4 linked regions of the Drosophila melanogaster genome follow. The protein of the gene in region 1 interacts with the protein of each later gene in a pairwise test. Each region holds a gene or a part of one and is shown on either strand. Other genes may lie near its edges.

What was found.
Region 2: the proteins of GstD1 (region 1) and Dus1 interact in a two-hybrid assay, tested with the Drosophila melanogaster proteins (one large-scale study listed by BioGRID).
Region 3: the proteins of GstD1 (region 1) and hui interact in a two-hybrid assay, tested with the Drosophila melanogaster proteins (one large-scale study listed by BioGRID).
Region 4: the proteins of GstD1 (region 1) and CG14718 interact in a two-hybrid assay, tested with the Drosophila melanogaster proteins (one large-scale study listed by BioGRID).

The regions. Positions count from the first base shown.
Region 1 is NT_033777.3:12,367,295-12,371,070, reverse strand, and holds GstD1 (glutathione S transferase D1), read left to right. Parts: upstream 1-1,802; 5' UTR 1,803-1,868; intron 1,869-2,477; exon of another isoform or gene 2,478-2,495; 5' UTR 2,496-2,499; coding exon 2,500-3,129; 3' UTR 3,130-3,254; downstream 3,255-3,776. UniProt on the Drosophila melanogaster protein: Conjugation of reduced glutathione to a wide number of exogenous and endogenous hydrophobic electrophiles. Has DDT dehydrochlorinase activity. May be involved in detoxification.
Region 2 is NT_033779.5:268,694-273,488, reverse strand, and holds the start of Dus1 (dihydrouridine synthase 1), read left to right. Parts: upstream 1-1,744; 5' UTR 1,745-1,860; intron 1,861-1,862; exon of another isoform or gene 1,863-2,174; coding exon of another isoform or gene 2,175-2,828; intron 2,829-2,882; coding exon of another isoform or gene 2,883-4,031; intron 4,032-4,099; coding exon of another isoform or gene 4,100-4,297; exon of another isoform or gene 4,298-4,401; intron 4,402-4,795. Other genes in the region: mbm (mushroom body miniature), read left to right, coding at 1-934, 983-1,522; CG3345 (uncharacterized protein), read right to left, coding at 2,175-2,828, 2,883-4,031, 4,100-4,297.
Region 3 is NT_033778.4:14,806,697-14,810,445, reverse strand, and holds hui (hase und igel), read right to left. Parts: upstream 2,028-3,749; 5' UTR 1,864-2,027; coding exon 1,803-1,863; intron 1,173-1,802; coding exon 923-1,172; intron 861-922; coding exon 563-860; 3' UTR 515-562; downstream 1-514. Other genes in the region: kn (knot), read left to right, coding at 3,385-3,596.
Region 4 is NT_033777.3:11,698,809-11,703,232, reverse strand, and holds CG14718 (uncharacterized protein), read right to left. Parts: upstream 2,620-4,424; 5' UTR 2,488-2,619; coding exon 1,147-2,487; 3' UTR 513-1,146; downstream 1-512.

The sequences.
Region 1 (3,776 bases):
TCGGAGAAAGATCAGCGCAGCTGTACACAAAGCGAATCACCGGCAAACGGAATCGAGAAAGTAGATGTATGTAGGCTAAATGTGCTCATATGGGAGGCCGGCAGAAGATCTCGATGATGTGGAGGTAAGAGATTATTGGGGCTCTTCGTCCTATCCATTCTCTTTGGCTTTGCTCTTTAAATAGTTTGCGCTTTTCACTTTATTTTCCTGTGACGCACATTTGGCAATGCCGTCCAACTGGTTTTTTTGATCTGCAGTGGCAAACACAGTGACCTTTCTCTACATTTTACGCTACCTTTTGGGCCGGCTTTTTGGTGAATTAACCCAACCAGTTATTGGCGAACTTATACTTACGATCTCGTGTTTCCCATGATTCAGCTGGATTTCGGCATTATGTTCAAATGAGTAACTCTCGGAACTTGGGGTTCGGAATTTTTGATTTCACAATCGTTTTGTGGATTGTTCTCGACGTTAAGAGCGCAATTTGTTTGACGTGTCGCCCACGAAAATGCTCTTTCCATTTTTTCCTACTTGTTATTGAATTTTTTTGCCCGGTCATGCTGATAGTTGGTATTGCGAATTGTGAAACTGATAAAAGCGAATTTGTTTTGGGGAAATTAAATACCCCCAGCGAAGTGTAGCAGGAATATTCAAGTGTTCGCCTTTGATAGTATCAAATACTTCCAAGAAATGAAAGTCTAGTATTCCTTTTCATGTTATATGGTCACAGCAATTACTTATTAAAACCCAAGGCCGTCATAACAAACACAAACAATAAAAGTCGATCGATATATGGACTAAGCCCATCCATATTGTTACATTGAAAATGTGTACCAGTAATTTCGAATTTGCATGTGCCTTTGACTCATCATTTAATCTACTACTATTTGTCTACCATAGCTTGGGCTTACCCATTAAAATTATTACTATGAGTCAAAGTATATTGAATAATTCGAAAAACGGTTATATTTTTATGGTCTTATTAGTACGGTATGAGCCTTTCGCGATTTGCTTGTGTGTTGGAAATACTCGACAACTGTTGCTATATATGTACATATGTACATACATACATATATGTTTGCCTGATATCAATGTTTGCCGGCCGGCTTGAATTCTTATCTGGTTTCTGTTTGCCTGCTTATTTGTTTGTACTTATTTTTTTTTGCATTTTAAAAGAATTTATGTTTTTTCAGGCGCACAGATGTTCATTAGAAATGCAAAATTGTGTTTCAAGCTAATCGATTGCATGCTTATGTGTTTGCTAATCTTAGCAAGTCGATGTGTAAATACCCTACGATTAATAATACCTGTATGGCAGGATTGTATCTTCTTTGTTATCTGTTTGTTAAAATCAGAAATTATAAAGAAATGTAACAAAATTTGTTCTTAAGCGAGTAAAAGGCTTCGTTCCAATGGAGGATCATTAGAAAGTTGCAGCTTTCTTTTGCGGGGGTATGGTGGAGGTGTATGAGGGAACGGATAGAGTGCAACCTCCTCCAGAGCACGCACACACACACTATCAATCGTCTCCACACACCCATGGCCACACAACAGTGTATTAATCACGCCGCTAACGTCACATTTTTGCCCGCCATTAGTGGGTATGTGTGGGCAAGTCAGAATATAATAGAAGACAAAAAAAAAACCCAGGCACGACAACAACTAGCAGCCCCCTCTCTCTCTCTCTGTACCTCTCTCCCCACCTTGCCACGCCCCGCGGGGCGCTTCAAGCTACAACTCTTGTTTGCCGGCATTGTGGCGACCACAGCCGGCCCCTATAAAAGTGGGCTCGCTCTTCGAATTCCGTTCAGTGCTACTTTTCATTTGATACAGTGTACATCGCGAGTTTCACAACAGAAGAAAAAAATGTAAGTTCCCCACAGCAATTTCTATATATATTGTGTTTTGTGATTGTGTGCCTGTGTTTGGTCAAAAATAAAAGGAAATATTGGCAGCATGGAAAATTACCAACATTTGAACGTATTATAGCCCCGATATGACATCATAGCCAAGTGAACTTCTGTAATGGCGGCCCAATTAAAGTCCGCTTTTGCTGAACTTGTAATTATAGAGCGCGTCTAATTGTGGCATATCTTTCTAGCATCCAGATCTATTCTGTTTGCATGCCATATGGATAATGTGTATAATACAGAAGCAATTTGGGTCTCAAGAAGGGGGAGATTGTTAATTTAAATATGAATGCGACGCTTGTGGATATGCTTGAAAAAGTTTGGTGCTCACATCTAAATTTGAAAAGAAGTTGGAGATTTGTTCACTCCAATCAAATATGGCGGACTCACAATTGTTTTCAGTTTCTTTTCAACTTGATTCTTCTTCCATTTAAAACCCAAATTAGAAATACAAATGAATGCCCTAAGCTTTTAAATAACCGTTGGTTAGAAATTAGCGAAGATAATAATATTTCTTAACAAGTTGGCTACAAATTATTTATTGCGAGCACTGTAACTAAATGATAGTTCTTCGAACTTCTACAGTAAAATGGTTGACTTCTACTACCTGCCCGGCTCCTCCCCCTGCCGCTCCGTGATCATGACCGCCAAGGCCGTGGGCGTCGAGCTGAACAAGAAGCTGCTCAACCTGCAGGCCGGTGAGCACCTGAAGCCGGAGTTCCTGAAGATCAATCCCCAGCACACCATTCCCACGCTGGTGGACAACGGATTCGCGCTGTGGGAGTCCCGCGCCATCCAGGTGTATTTGGTGGAGAAGTACGGCAAGACCGACTCCCTGTACCCTAAGTGCCCCAAGAAGCGCGCCGTGATCAATCAGCGCCTGTACTTCGACATGGGAACGCTGTACCAGAGCTTCGCCAACTACTACTACCCACAGGTGTTCGCCAAGGCGCCCGCCGATCCAGAGGCCTTCAAGAAGATCGAGGCCGCCTTCGAGTTCCTGAACACCTTCCTGGAGGGACAGGACTACGCCGCCGGTGACTCCCTTACCGTAGCCGACATTGCCCTGGTGGCAACCGTGTCCACATTCGAGGTGGCCAAATTCGAGATCAGCAAGTACGCCAATGTGAACAGGTGGTACGAGAACGCCAAGAAGGTGACTCCCGGATGGGAGGAGAACTGGGCCGGATGCCTGGAGTTCAAGAAGTACTTCGAATAAGCCTGATATTCACGTTTTTATACCCGTACATATGATGTAGTATTTATATTCACGTTCACAAACAACAATTCCAAATTCGCCTGTCTCCAAAGACAATAAATAAGTGTTCTTTTTTTTGAATGCACAAAATACAAATGAGTTTGTTTTTAGATGGGTGTACATTTACATATATTACTATGTGTATGTGGATAGTGGATATTGTGGATAGGGACTGCAATTGAATAAGTGGGCTCTCTTGATGCTCGTTATTTTCTCTTTGATGCCAGGGGTGATTCTCTTTCCTCTTTTGCTAAATCTCTCCGAATCGAGAGGCAAACAAAAAAAGATAATAAAAGATAGAATATTTTCGCGATGCTCGTTAGTTTTATGTGGTGAAGGCCTCAAAAAAGAAGCTTGAAAATCTGTAAGGAAAAAGTGAGAAATTATCAGACTTAAATTCATTGGTGAAATAGATTAGAAACTTAGAGTGAATTTCGTTTTGGTTCTGAAATTTTCATCAGAAAGGCAGCTCTTGTAATTTCTTGTTCTTCAAAAAGCTTTTAACGGTAGATAACAAAGTGGAAAATTACCAAGTTAAATTATTCATTTAAAAGGAAGCAAATCTCGACATATTTTATATATTATGGGCACCATTTTTAATAAAAACA
Region 2 (4,795 bases), on another chromosome or scaffold:
AAACTGGCCAGACGCTGGATCGGAAGGTGGGCAGAATGGAAACGCGTTTAACAAGTTCAGAGATCCCCAACAGGAGCTGGATAATCATCAGCCAAACAAGAGAGGGGGCCGAAGAAATAGAGGCGGTGGCGGAGGAGGTGGTGGTTGGGGTGGCAGGCGAGGGAACCGCGGCAGAGATTCCAATAGGCGTGGTGGCCGTAACAACTCGTGGCAACCTAAGGATCAGCATGTTAGTCCTGGCCAAAGTAACATGCTGTACTTCGATAATGTGGGGGACTTTACCGAAGACCCACCTCTGCCTCGATCCTCGCCTGCTCCCTCCTCTCTCAGACAGGAGAGCCTGCCACCTGTTACTTTCGCTGCGGACTTGACGCCACCACCACCTGTATCTGTTGCACCACCTGATGTGGCTGTTACGCCAGAAGAACCTACTGTGCCGCTAATCAATATCAAGAAGGAGAAAGAAATGGAGCACAAGTCAAAAATAAAGCAATTTGTCAAAGCGGAGCCCAAATCTCCTAAAAAGAAGAAGGTTAACTCCTCTAGGTCGTCATCTACTTCGGGAGAGGAGTCTGAACCCGAACCAGGGGAAATGGTAGTCAACACTAAGGCAGTGGTGGTGCCGTCCCCAAAAGCGAAGGCCATCAAAACACCTGTAGCATCAACTCCGAAACCAAAGGCTGTAAAACCAGTTTCGTCCTCCGACTCCTCAACTTCGGACAGCGACACCGATGATGAACAGAGTCATCCGCCGGCAAAGAGTAAAAAGATGGAAAAGAACACCGAGGAGGATGTTGTCTGCATGGGCTCTCAGGAGCGCCAGTTTACCATTACCGATGAGGAGGAAAGCACCGAACCTGAAGACGACAAGAAGGCCAGAAAGCAAAAAAACAAGGGTAAAACCGTGGATGTGTGTGGCATATGCGACAAGAAGGTAAATATTTTAAAAGAATGTTACCCAATTTAAAAAAATCTCTTCCAGGGCCACACCTCCTTCCAGTGTCAGATGATATGTCGTAATTGCTCCGGTAGTTATCATGGTCTCAAAAACTGTCCAAACCCGCCCAATCTAAATATTGCCATCCAGTCGTTTGTGGAGTTTGCCATGCAGCAAATGACTGCCTTTCATTGCGAGCAAGGATTTGGATTTCCTGCTGGCACAGTCACAGCTCCAGTTTCAGCAAAACCCAAAAAGGACAAAAAGGCGTCAATAAAAAAGATAAAGAAGTCTTCACAGAAAAGGATGAAGGTGGAGCCGAAAGATCATGACGAAGAAGATGACGAGGAAGATGACGACGAAGATGAAGATGACAGCAGCGAGAGCGATGACTCGGAGTCCAGCGAAGAGCCTCACCCAGCTCCTGTGTCCAAACAGAAGCGGAAACGAGGCACCAAAGCCTCCGTATCGGCCGCAGCCAGTCTACCTCCTCAAGTGTTTCCATTTCCCCTTCTAGGCGCCCCGGGCGCCCCTTTTAACTCCATGATGTATTCTTATAGAGCTCCGTTTAATTTTTCTAAATAGTTATAGCGTGAGTTAGTTGTAAAGGAACGTGAAAGATAAATACATTTTCAATACCAATGGATTTAGTTCTTTCATTTTAATATTTACGGAATTTAGGAATTACGCCTCTGTTGTTTAAAACGAGAATGAAGTTGAATTAATTTTTGTACAATACATACCGGGGAATAATATCGATAACCAGGGCAGACCTATTTATCGAAATGTATCAGCCGACGCAGCCCTGGTTTTGTGTTTTGCCAGCTGTTGCTTCCACGCTTTTGAATAAAAAATCAAATTAATAGTGTTTACTAGGAAAAACGTATGAAACTCAGTGAAAAAACTTTGCAAAAAACTTTTGGGTAAGTGTATTTACCTAAATTTATTGGTTTTCTACGATTAAATCTCAAGAGCTTTGAGTTTTTAACTAAAGGATCCAGGTGTCTGATTTTTAAAGTTATACTCAACTTATTTATAAGGAAGCATTTTAAACGATAAAAGAAAACATAGTACATAAATTTAGGACATCATATTGAAAATGAATATTCCTGGACTCTGAAGTATGTAAGTGCCTCGGAAACGAAATATACAAGTAATTTTTAGGGCTACTTCCCGCCAGAGCTAAGGCATCCTGCTTTAAGATCAATTTTCCTTGCCCTGTCTGCTTGACAGGATCCTAGGGTATGCAGAGAGCCAGGGTCTCGCGTTCCTGCTCGGTGCCGCAGGACACTGGGTGATTCTGGCCCCGGGGATCGATGCCTGGCTTGAGCATCGTCTGCTGCAGCTCCCAGATGATTTCACACGACTGGACGCTCACGGCCAGCTTAAGCACCGACTGATAGTTGAGCGGATTAACCGCATAGCTGAGGATACCCCTGGCAATCTGCTCGAACAAATAGTTCCTGTCAAGCAGAAGGAGCTCCTCTCGTACCTCCATCATACGGTTTTCAAAGTGGCACTGAATCGCTGCAAATACCAGCTTGTCCAGACCCACCAATAGATCCCGCTTAAACTTCACCAGGTAGTGCTCTATGAACACGATCTGGTTGCGATTTAGATGCGGCAGGCGCACCTTGTCCTGTATTACCTGTTCGCCGATCTGGCTGACAACCAGAGAGGCTAATGATCCCGCCGGAGTGGCCCGACGTTCGCTGCACGGGCGGACGTCCACGAACGGATGAATCTCGTAGCTGCCCACGCCAATGGTGCTGGCTACACCGCTAAATGATACATGGGAGGCGCGCGAGTGGTTTTTCGGCTGTTTGGCCATCGACGGAGGCACTTCCATGGCTTTGTGGTCTCTGGCGAATCCAATGATCTGATAAGCTTTCTGCAGGCGGAATGAATTAGTGGTATGTCAAGAGGGACTGCTATTAACACTTACGTAGTGCACATATTTCTTTGCATCGCAGACAAAATCCTTAATGCGCGAGATCAGCACCTGCAAGGCACACTCATCCTCGCTGAGATCGTCGTTTAAACCAGAAATTATGTAGTCCAGTATATATTGTGCCGCCTTATAGATGGGGTCGTCTGGTGCGAAGCTGAGAGCGGTCTGACCCTCCATGGCAATGGCTGCATTCAAGGCGTAACAAAGATCACTGTCTAACAATCCCTCAAAGGTGGCCTGATACTCATCGCAGAATGATGGCTTGCGTTCCTGAAGTGTCGACTTCTTCTTCTTGCGGCGCTTTCTTTTGGGCTGACGAGCAGTGATGGCCTTTTGAGCTCTTTCCTTAATCTCGTCCTGAATCCGTTGCCACTTTTCTCTGTAATGAGCCTTGTGCCTGTCTATAAACGCCTCTCGCTCTTTTTCCACCTCCTGCAGGAGGTATTCGATCCTACGCTGATTAGCAATTCGCTCATCAAGTCGCTTCCTCCACGACTGAATCTGGTGCTCAGTGTTCTTTACCAGCCGTTGTTTCCTCAGGATTCGCATGTTTTTGTTGAACCGATCCTTTTTGAACTGGAAGAGCTTCTTCTGTTTGATCAATAGCTTTCTCATCAAATCCTGGCACATGCTTATGTGGGCAGCTACACGCATGTTTGTCAGCATCTTGCGGTGCTCCAGCAACATATTCTGCATGGTGGCCAGGTTCTCTAAGCGCTTAAACTTCTCATATGTGATATTCAGCAGATGGACCTTTCTTTCGTGGCGTTCCTGCTCCTGTAGTTTCTTTCTGGCAAGAACCTCCTCAGTGCACTGGTGACGGGCTGCGAGATTCTGGTGATCCTTTTTTGTGATGGACTCCGCGTTGGCGATCAGCATTCGATCATATTGCTCCGACTCGCGCCGCTTGTATGCCTGCAAAATGTAGTACAACTGCGATTTGTGCAGCTCCTGGCGATGCTGATTGAAGTCCTTCAGATTGCATATTACATCGTTGTCCTGCGTTATCTCACCGTTTTCCCTCAACCGCTTCAGATTACGCTCATTGGAGTAGAACGTCTTTAGGTTGGAGTCGTGTAGCGGATTGTACTCCGGGATGTGTTCGGTAACGGAACACTCAAACTCCTGTTTACCGCTCTTGAACTGGTGGATATGTATGAATGATGATGATAAAGTAAGGTTCTAGCTGATTTTCTACTGGTAGCACTTACGTCCTGTCCGATCTTGTTCTTGGAGAATATGACCTGATTGCCGGGACATTTGAGCATTGGCAGCTTGCAATTAAGAGGGATCAGCTCCCATCCGGGTAGACTGTTGATGGGTAGTCCAGTCTTGTAGGAGATCATCTTTAGCAGGGCCGGGTTTCCGGACACCTTATTTCGCCGCGGCAGCGACAAAATATCGATCATCTTGTCGCTCTAAACTTACAGTAGCCTAAATTATTTGTGCTTAACATTTACTCTCTGAGCGTTCCAAGAAAACTAATTTCGAACAGTGCCTTATGAAAATGTAGTAGCCCCGCCTACTTTAACAATATTCTATACTTTTTCCCTGCCGATTGTATATTGACTTTAGTCAATAGTTTGCAATATAAAATATATATATTCTTAAGCAGTCTCAACAACCGTTTTATAGCTATCTGCATGAATCTGTGGTCCCATCCTAAGAGGCCGAATCGGGATCGAAGCTGTCATTACCCTGGCTCCAGCAGATTCCAGGGCGTTAGTTCGGCTTACATAAATCCTCGGTTGACTATCCTCCTCAATATTTCGCTGTCTCTATCCGGGCTTATGTTCCACCCGCTTTTTCCGACCGCTGACCCAGTTTGGCGTCCGTGGATGATTCTAGATGCGGGCATCTCGGGCATAAATATTTACCAATCGTTCGGTCCGGCGCCAACATGTCTG
Region 3 (3,749 bases), on another chromosome or scaffold:
TTTCCTATAAGTCAAGTAAACATTTCGGAAGTGCTACTAATGTTTTGTAACTTGTTTTGTCTTTTGTGATGGTTAAAGGGTTTTTAAAAGGCAACATCTTTAATTATTTTCTTTCGATTCTTTAACTCTACTGACTACATTGTGCATATTCGTATTGATCCCCTTGAACCGAAACCCTGGTACGCCCCTGGTTCATTCGAAACATCCATCACTTTTTGCTGCGAAGTGAAAGAGGATGAAGGATATAGGATGCAGATGCAGGTTACAGGATGGAACTTTTAAGATATGGTATGTGGGATGCAATCATCTAGAGTGGGCAAAACAAAAAAAGAACACTTCAGATGCGGAAACCGCAATGAATACACTGCGACATCTGCAAGGGGCGTGGCAGTGCGCCCAATTGGAAGCAATTAATCCCACAAACCAAATGGCAAGCGAAAAAAGCAAAGTTCTTTGCGAGCTCTTATTTCTGAGTTCATAACAAATATCCTGTTAAGAAGGCACCGTGTCAGTTAATTTACTGTAATTTATTAAAGTTTACACTCGAAAAAAAACCTATGTTCTATTTGGATGAGTAAGTGGATTCGGTCTTCTTGATATTGAGAACGCCGTTGGAATCGGTGGCACCCTGGATGTTGGTCACCTTCTGGTTGCCACTGGCATCGACAACGGCCACGGTCTGCTGGATTTGGGTGGCGGGAATGGGTCCAACTCCGGAGATGTGCTGATAGCTACCGGTGCTTCCTACTCCGCTGTTGCTGCTGATGGAGGCTGCGCTGGTGTAGCCATTGTAGGTGGGATAATAGTTGTCGCCTCCAGTTAAGGAGCTCTCGCCGAAACGCTCATCAAAGGACACACCACTGGAAATTAAAACGATCATTAGTGATCATCAATAGAAGTCCTCATTTTCCAGTTAACTCACCCAAGCACTGGAGCAGCGGCCTGCTGGGTGTAAGAGGAGCCAGAATGACCGGAGCCATCGGCATTCTGAACGCTGTGTGAGGCGTAGGTGAAGACGTTTCCTCCACTGGAGGACGAGGAGGATGATGACGAGGAAGACGAACTGGACTGACGACGCAGACGCCTCAGGAGATGGGCATTCACGGGATGGACATTCGACTGGTGGCCCTCCGAGTCCAAGGTGAAGAAGGCACGGGGCAGAAACTGGCCAGCTGTATGAATAAAGAGCAATGAATTCAGCGATAAGTATCTGAAATCTATGAATATAGCTTTAAAGCTTAGATTTCGTTCACATCTCGCCCTTATTTACCACGATTAAATATTTTATGAACTTTTACTATTGAATTTATTTTTAATATTATGAAAACCTTTGAATAATTACATATACTTAGCATATATACCATGCAGATTTATTCCAAGTTTTTTATGATAATGCTAATCCCAAAAGTATGCTTATAAATCTCAAACATTCAACAATGGCAATTTCTTTTTTGAGTGTGAAAGTTTGTCCACTCAGCGATCGCGTGAATAATCAAACGTAATGCTGATTTTGAATAGCCATATTTTAGGAATCGTAATAAAAAGCGAATTTGTTGTGCGGAAAGTTTTGCTGGACAAACATTGTCGCAAAGTTAATGAGCTACGCGAATTTCACAAACCAGTTTGGGTTTCCGGATGGGTTCGATAGGTTTTTGGGTATTATTAACATACTAGCACCCGTCGACCGACTTGTTAATTCAATTAATAATAAACACGATAGCAGCTCCGACTAGCGATGATGTAAGTGCACAATCCGGCTTAAGCTCTCCTCAAATTATACTCAAATTTGCTTTTTTGCTCACCGGAAGAGGCCGAAGCGGTAGTAATCGCAAACAAAGCGATGGCAATCACAGCGTACTTCATTGTGAAGCGGTATGGATCTGTAAGAACACACACTTCGTCACTTAGTAGGGTTAATTCAGCGGTTAGGGGTATGCAGAGGGGCCTATCTGCGGTTAAGCACTCACAAAGACGAAACGAAAGACTGAGGCAGCGAACGCGTGAAAAGTTCCAAAACGACTAAGCTCGCGGTGCGGCTCCCTAGCGCTTATATATGGAAATTTCGAATGCTGACGCAGTGCGAACCATCTACATCATTATCATCTAAAGCTGGAAGAACAAGCAGAAGCCGTCAAACAGGCAGAAGAGTTGGGCAAATAACTCCACCGGTAGGTAGACTGAACAATAAACAAATACAGAAAAAAAAACAAGAGGCAGGCATTTAAAGTTTCTTAAAACCTCTGGCTGTGGCTCATAAACGTAAAGTTAGGCTCAATGATTCATAAGGTTAAATACTATCACATCTCTCAGTTAATTTCCCCTCTCTGCAGCAGAGTTTATCTCACATATAAATCCACCCAAAAAGTTAATGATTATGGGAAATAAACACATGACGAAGCAGCGAAGCGCCAACGGGGAATTTCTGTTCTGTTTGTTTTCACTTTATTTGTATTTCGCATTATATATTCGAACGCCAAACTGTTTTGGCCAGCTCGTGTAAATTGGCCAAGTGCCCTCGCTTTTTCTTATTGTACTTTTTTTGTACCCAGTCTGCGCCTTGAGCTCTGCTTTTGACCCGATTCGTGTTTTTGGCAATAAAGAACTTCTCGAACTTCTTCTCTTGGGCTTGGGGCAATAACCTGATTACAACGTGGCCAACACCTAACAAACGGAGTTTCAGAGAAATATTATGCATTATACATACATTGCCGATCATAAAGCTAAACTATATATACTCATTTGTTTAATGGCTGGCATGCGTCCACTAATTATAATATTTTGTGAATTTTAATAATATTATGCCTCGCTCGGTTTTACCGCTCCATCTGTTTGAAACAAAACTGGTTTTGATGGGATTTTCGATTGATCTTGCTCGACGAAATGAAAACAAATTTTGTTATTTAATTTTACATTATCATATATGTATATTCCAGGAAATCCTTTCAATTAACCGGTTATTTGGGGATTATTGTTTTTAATTGCCTAAAATAAATCTAAGGCTTTGATCAATCAAGAAATAATTGAAGACAAGTTGTGCAACACAAATTATATTGCATATACACATTTTGCACGTTTTGCTGATAGAAGTAGGGTATTTCTAACAAGTACAATTAAATAGACATATGTACTTTTTTCAGTAAAATATTACCAATTTTTCACGCACTACTTAAGCCAATCTACCACCTTAATTCCGTTTTTTTTCTTTTGAACACATGAAAAAATTCAATTCCTTAGATTTATATTAATCTAATTGAAATCCACAAATTTGTTGCCATTTGTTGTGCAGAAGTATTTTTGAATTTCGCACACGTTCGTTGGCAAAAATATGTACAAATATTGAATACGAAAAAGTCAAGGAAAAATTCCATTCTTTTTCTCGCAAAAATGGTGACAGAGCAAAATGCTGACCGCCGCCTACTAGGAAAAATAATCCCCAGCCGATTTGAACGATTTATTATTTGGCCCAGCCAACTCGGAGCCTGTCCCGGAATACCCGGAACCATTAATCATCCGAGTCCAGATCCAAGTCCGAGTCCGAGTGGTGGACAGGCGGCATTGCAATTGGTGGACATTTTGGAGTGGAAGAAACTTTTGCGGTACGTGGCAACGTGTTGAAATTACAAAATGTGTTAAAAAATGAAAGAGCAGGGCGGGTAAAAAGCAAAATAATATATTTCATTCACACACAGACTTTTGTCTCTGCTCCGCCGTCCATATAAAAAACATAAATTTCCTTTGAGAATAGAACT
Region 4 (4,424 bases), 670 kb from region 1:
CCCGCAGGCGGCAGACCAAGCACAACCGACTATGGACTATGGACTAGGGACGATGGACTCCGGACTCCGGACTCCACACTCCACAGCTCCCACCAGGTGCCTTGTCCGCTCGCGTGGAAGAAAGTGCAAAGTAAATGCACAACACAAAGTCTGCCAGGCGCCGCCTCTGGTGAACTGGTGAATGGAGCAGGGGGGCGTGGCATGCGGCAGACGAGGGCAGCCGCAACTGCGGGTGCAGCCAAAAGAGCAACTCACCAGCCGCACCATCTACCAACCAGCCAAGCTGTTGTGGCACAGATTCGGCTGACGCAAAGTTTGATTAAATCACATGACAGAAAAGGACGAGGTAGATAGAAAGGAGGAGTAGGAGGATGGGGCTGGCGAGCGACTTGTGGGACATGGATTCAAGTGGCTTGATGCCACTGCACACAGAAAACAATCTGAGTCAAGGATTTGCTGTGGGGGATTCAGAAATTTTGAAATTTCATTGTGATAGTTTAAAGCCACGAGTTCACCCTTTCTATAAATAAATGAATAGAAGATTAATTTTATTAAACAATTTAGACTTCATTGAATATAATATTTCGATTTACAGTGCAGTTCCGCAGAGCCAATGAGCCACTGAGCCACTGACTGCACGCGTCGGGAAAGTAAATAAATTCATTAAACGTTTAGAGCTGGCCAGGTGGGTCCGGTTGCCTTTTGTGCCTGGGTAAAATATTCAGTTACCCGGATTAAGTGGATTACCATTCAGCAAGTTGCATTGTCCCGCAATCTGAGGATCTCTGCTCTGGGGACAAAGACTGGTTCGGCGGGTATATGGTGGCGGCATTGCATTCAAACGCCTTTTTCTAAGACGGGCATTAACAGGAATTTAGGTGTCTTTTGTTCTTGGCTCTTGCTGTTCTTGGATGGGGCTCACAAGCTCATGGGCATCGCATCGAATCGATTCAATTCAATTGAAGTTGCATCTGGATATCACGACGCAGTTCGCGTTCCAATCACTTGAAATTTTTAGAAGTCCGGAAGGAGCAGGATGCAGAAGGCAGAAGTGTCCTTCGTACAAAAAGATGCGGATACACAAAACAGATAACACGTATAGATACAGACACAGACACAGACAGAACGAGGTGGACTGGACTGTTTCTACTCTGCAATGGGCGGATTCAGAACCAGCTCCCAGGTATCTTCCTCCGTCGACTCGGAGCTCTTCATTTCATCGGAACGCAGGGCGTGGCAACGATTGCACTTCGCTCGGTACCAGAAATTCATATTATAGCAAATCTTGCACAGCCAGTCGTTCCTGTATGGCCGCCAACGACGAGGGGCACCGTCCTCTTCGCGTGATCCCGCCCAGGAACTTCCCTCGTTATTCTGAGGAGCGACCACCTTGTCCGCCTGGCATCTGTTGCAGCTGGAACGCCAGACGAAGTTGCTGTTCCGGCAGAGCATGCACACCCAATTGTCGATGGCTGGCTTCCATTTCATTGCCCGCTGGCGACGTTGGTGCTCCGGCGCATTAAGCTCTCGCGGATAACTGTACCGGACACTGCCCCTCCGGGTGGATAGGTAGGCGGGCAGAACGGTGATCACCTGTCCCATGAACTTGGCCCCACTCAGACAACTAATCGCCGCCTGTGCAGAGAATGGACTCACATAGGTTATAGTGGCCTCACCCTTGGAGCGCCCCGTTATCTTGTTCTTGTAGACGAAGATCTTCGGCTTGTTGGTCGACTCGTCCATCTTGATAACGCCCACTTTGCCGAAGAACAGGATGATGTCGTTCTTGGTCACATTGAGGCGCATGCCCAGCACGAAGACAGTTTCCGCCTGGATCACGTACTGCTCCTGACCGATGCTTATATAGGGCCTATGCCGCGGGAGCGCCAGGCGGGGCATGTAGTCGGCGGCGGTGCGCGGGAACACCATGTAGGATGTGTTGCCACCCATGCAGGGTAACAGCGGCGGCCTCTGCTCGCCATTAACCTCCTCTGCAAGCTCCTCCATTTCCCCCATTTCCCCTATATCTCCATTCAGCTCTTCCCGCTCCAGCGTCTCACATTGGTTCATCTGAAGATCCCGTTCCGCCTCCTGCTCTGTGTCAATGCTCACGGACTCGCCTGAACTCGCCATCGGGCATGAGGACGACGTGCTGGCCACCAACTGCTGGTCCGCCTCTGCACCACAGAAGTGGTCATCCTCTTGGACCAGAAGCAAGGAACCGCTGGCATCGCCGCTTCCATCCTCGTAGCGGTAGAGATCACTGTACATGCCTCTGGGACTCAAACCGGAAGCGGCACTCGCCTGGGGAATGGGGGCTGGTGCAAAATTAAATCCCAATCCAGAACCCAATGTGGTTCCGACGATGTAGTTGGCATGGAACATCTGTTGCTGAGTCTGCAGCTGTGGCTGTGGCTGCTGGGTGTCCGAGTAATTTGGAGCGTAAAAAGAATTCGTATACACTACGCTGGCTGACGTGCTATCCATGGTTGGTAAAAAATATACGTAAAACTCCTCGTTGTGTGGCCTTTACTGCTGATCAAACACGAACCGATTCCTTTAAAAACTACTGAAATCTTTGATAACATCCAGACACTAGGAGTATAAAAATGAACTGAGTTCCGGATCTAAGTTTCTTTGATAGATTGTGTTGTAGCCTACTTGGCAGCCATATTTTTCCAATTCAATCAAATGGCAAGCCAATTTAATTTCATTACTTTTGACTCGAAAAAATGTTGGTGATGTGTTTATCCACATCAAAACAATATAATCCGAAGTATTAATAATATCATTGCTGCACACAAAAACCAACATATCAACCGTTTGTTGCCAATGAATATATTTAAAATAAAATCGACAGCGGCAGGATTAATTTAATTCAATAATGTGGAATTTACTGAGTGAAAATGTATTAATAGCCAAAGTAAAAATGCAATATGGACATCGAAATGGCTGGCACTTTTACGTCCACACCTTTCAAGGGATTTGACCTGGTTTTTCCATCCGTAGTCCATAGTTAAAAGCGCGAAGAACTATGCAAATTTCCGTGATTGGCGGCTAAAACTCTGGATGCCACTTTCGCAGCTCACTGATGACTTTGCACTTCGCTTGTCGTCGTCTTCGGAAAATTGATTCATAATTTCTGCACATTTTCACTTTAATCAGCAAACTTTGATTACATTTTCGCAGCGTGAGATGGCGCAGAAAAGTACCTGATATCAATTTAAAAGCTTCGAGTAGAACTCCCATAGGAATCTGAAACTTAAGTTCATATTTTTCGAAGACAAGACTCATCCATGGCCGGGCCAATCACGATGAATCAAGATGACTGGTACTCATCAAGCCAATTAGCTGCCAATTACCCCACTAATGAGCGACCACATTAACCCCACAAAGGATCCCGAATTGGAGGGCAGTCAAGAATAATGTCCTGCCAACGGAGCGTGGACTCTGAAGACATGTTTATTAATATCCCGAACCCGAACTCAAGGCCGGCCACCCTGATAAACGAAAGTGCCACGTTTGTCGCCAGCTCGGTTCGGGGGAAAAAAAAAGGAAACAACATTTTCACCAGCAATTGGCTTTTATGGCCGCCGCCTCTTTACGACCAAGTCCGCTGACCTTATCATCAGATTCCGGGTTCTCGGATCCGGTGTCCTGTACGGAAGCTCCTGTTTCATTAGCAGCCCCCGCTGCTGTGGTGTCCATTTCCAAGAAAGGAGGAGGGTCAGCATCTTCAACAGCAGCAGCTTTACTTCAGAGCGGCAAAGTTTTGCTTTAACCCGTCAAATATTTCCCCCGTTGAAATGAAGTAATGAAGCTGGGAACCGCCGACACGAAATTAAAAATCAACTGTCTTGAAGGGAAAACAACAGCGAAATGGAAACTGTTGCCGGGGAAAAGTTCCTATTCCGTTGGTGGAAAACTTTTTGTGCGCTCATAAAAATCGAGACAGGGCAAATTGTCTTCCAGTATAATTGCACAAAAGTTTGACTTTGAAGCTCGTCCGTAATTGAAAAGACAAAAGCGCAGCAAAGCAATTGGCCCGGAATATAAGCTGGTATATGTATGACTACGCTGCGTTCGGTTATTCTATGGTGTGGCCAAAAGGGATGACTCTTCATCAGCATCTCTCGGTGCACACGCACTGTGTGCAGCATTCATGTTGTCTTTCCTTCCATTTGCAGCAAAGGCGAAGTAGGAACAGCTAATGAATTGGCTGCCTGCTGGAGCAGAGTAAACACGCAGCACAGCTCAGCTCAGCTCAGCTCAGCAATCTACCTGAATAAACTGACACGAATCGGAAGGTGCAGGTGCGCATTGGGTATCGAAAACACCTATCCACCTACATATCTGCCAATGAAGTATGAAGTATCTGCATCCCGCACAAAGTCGAATTAATGGAGGGGGGCGTTGAAAATCAA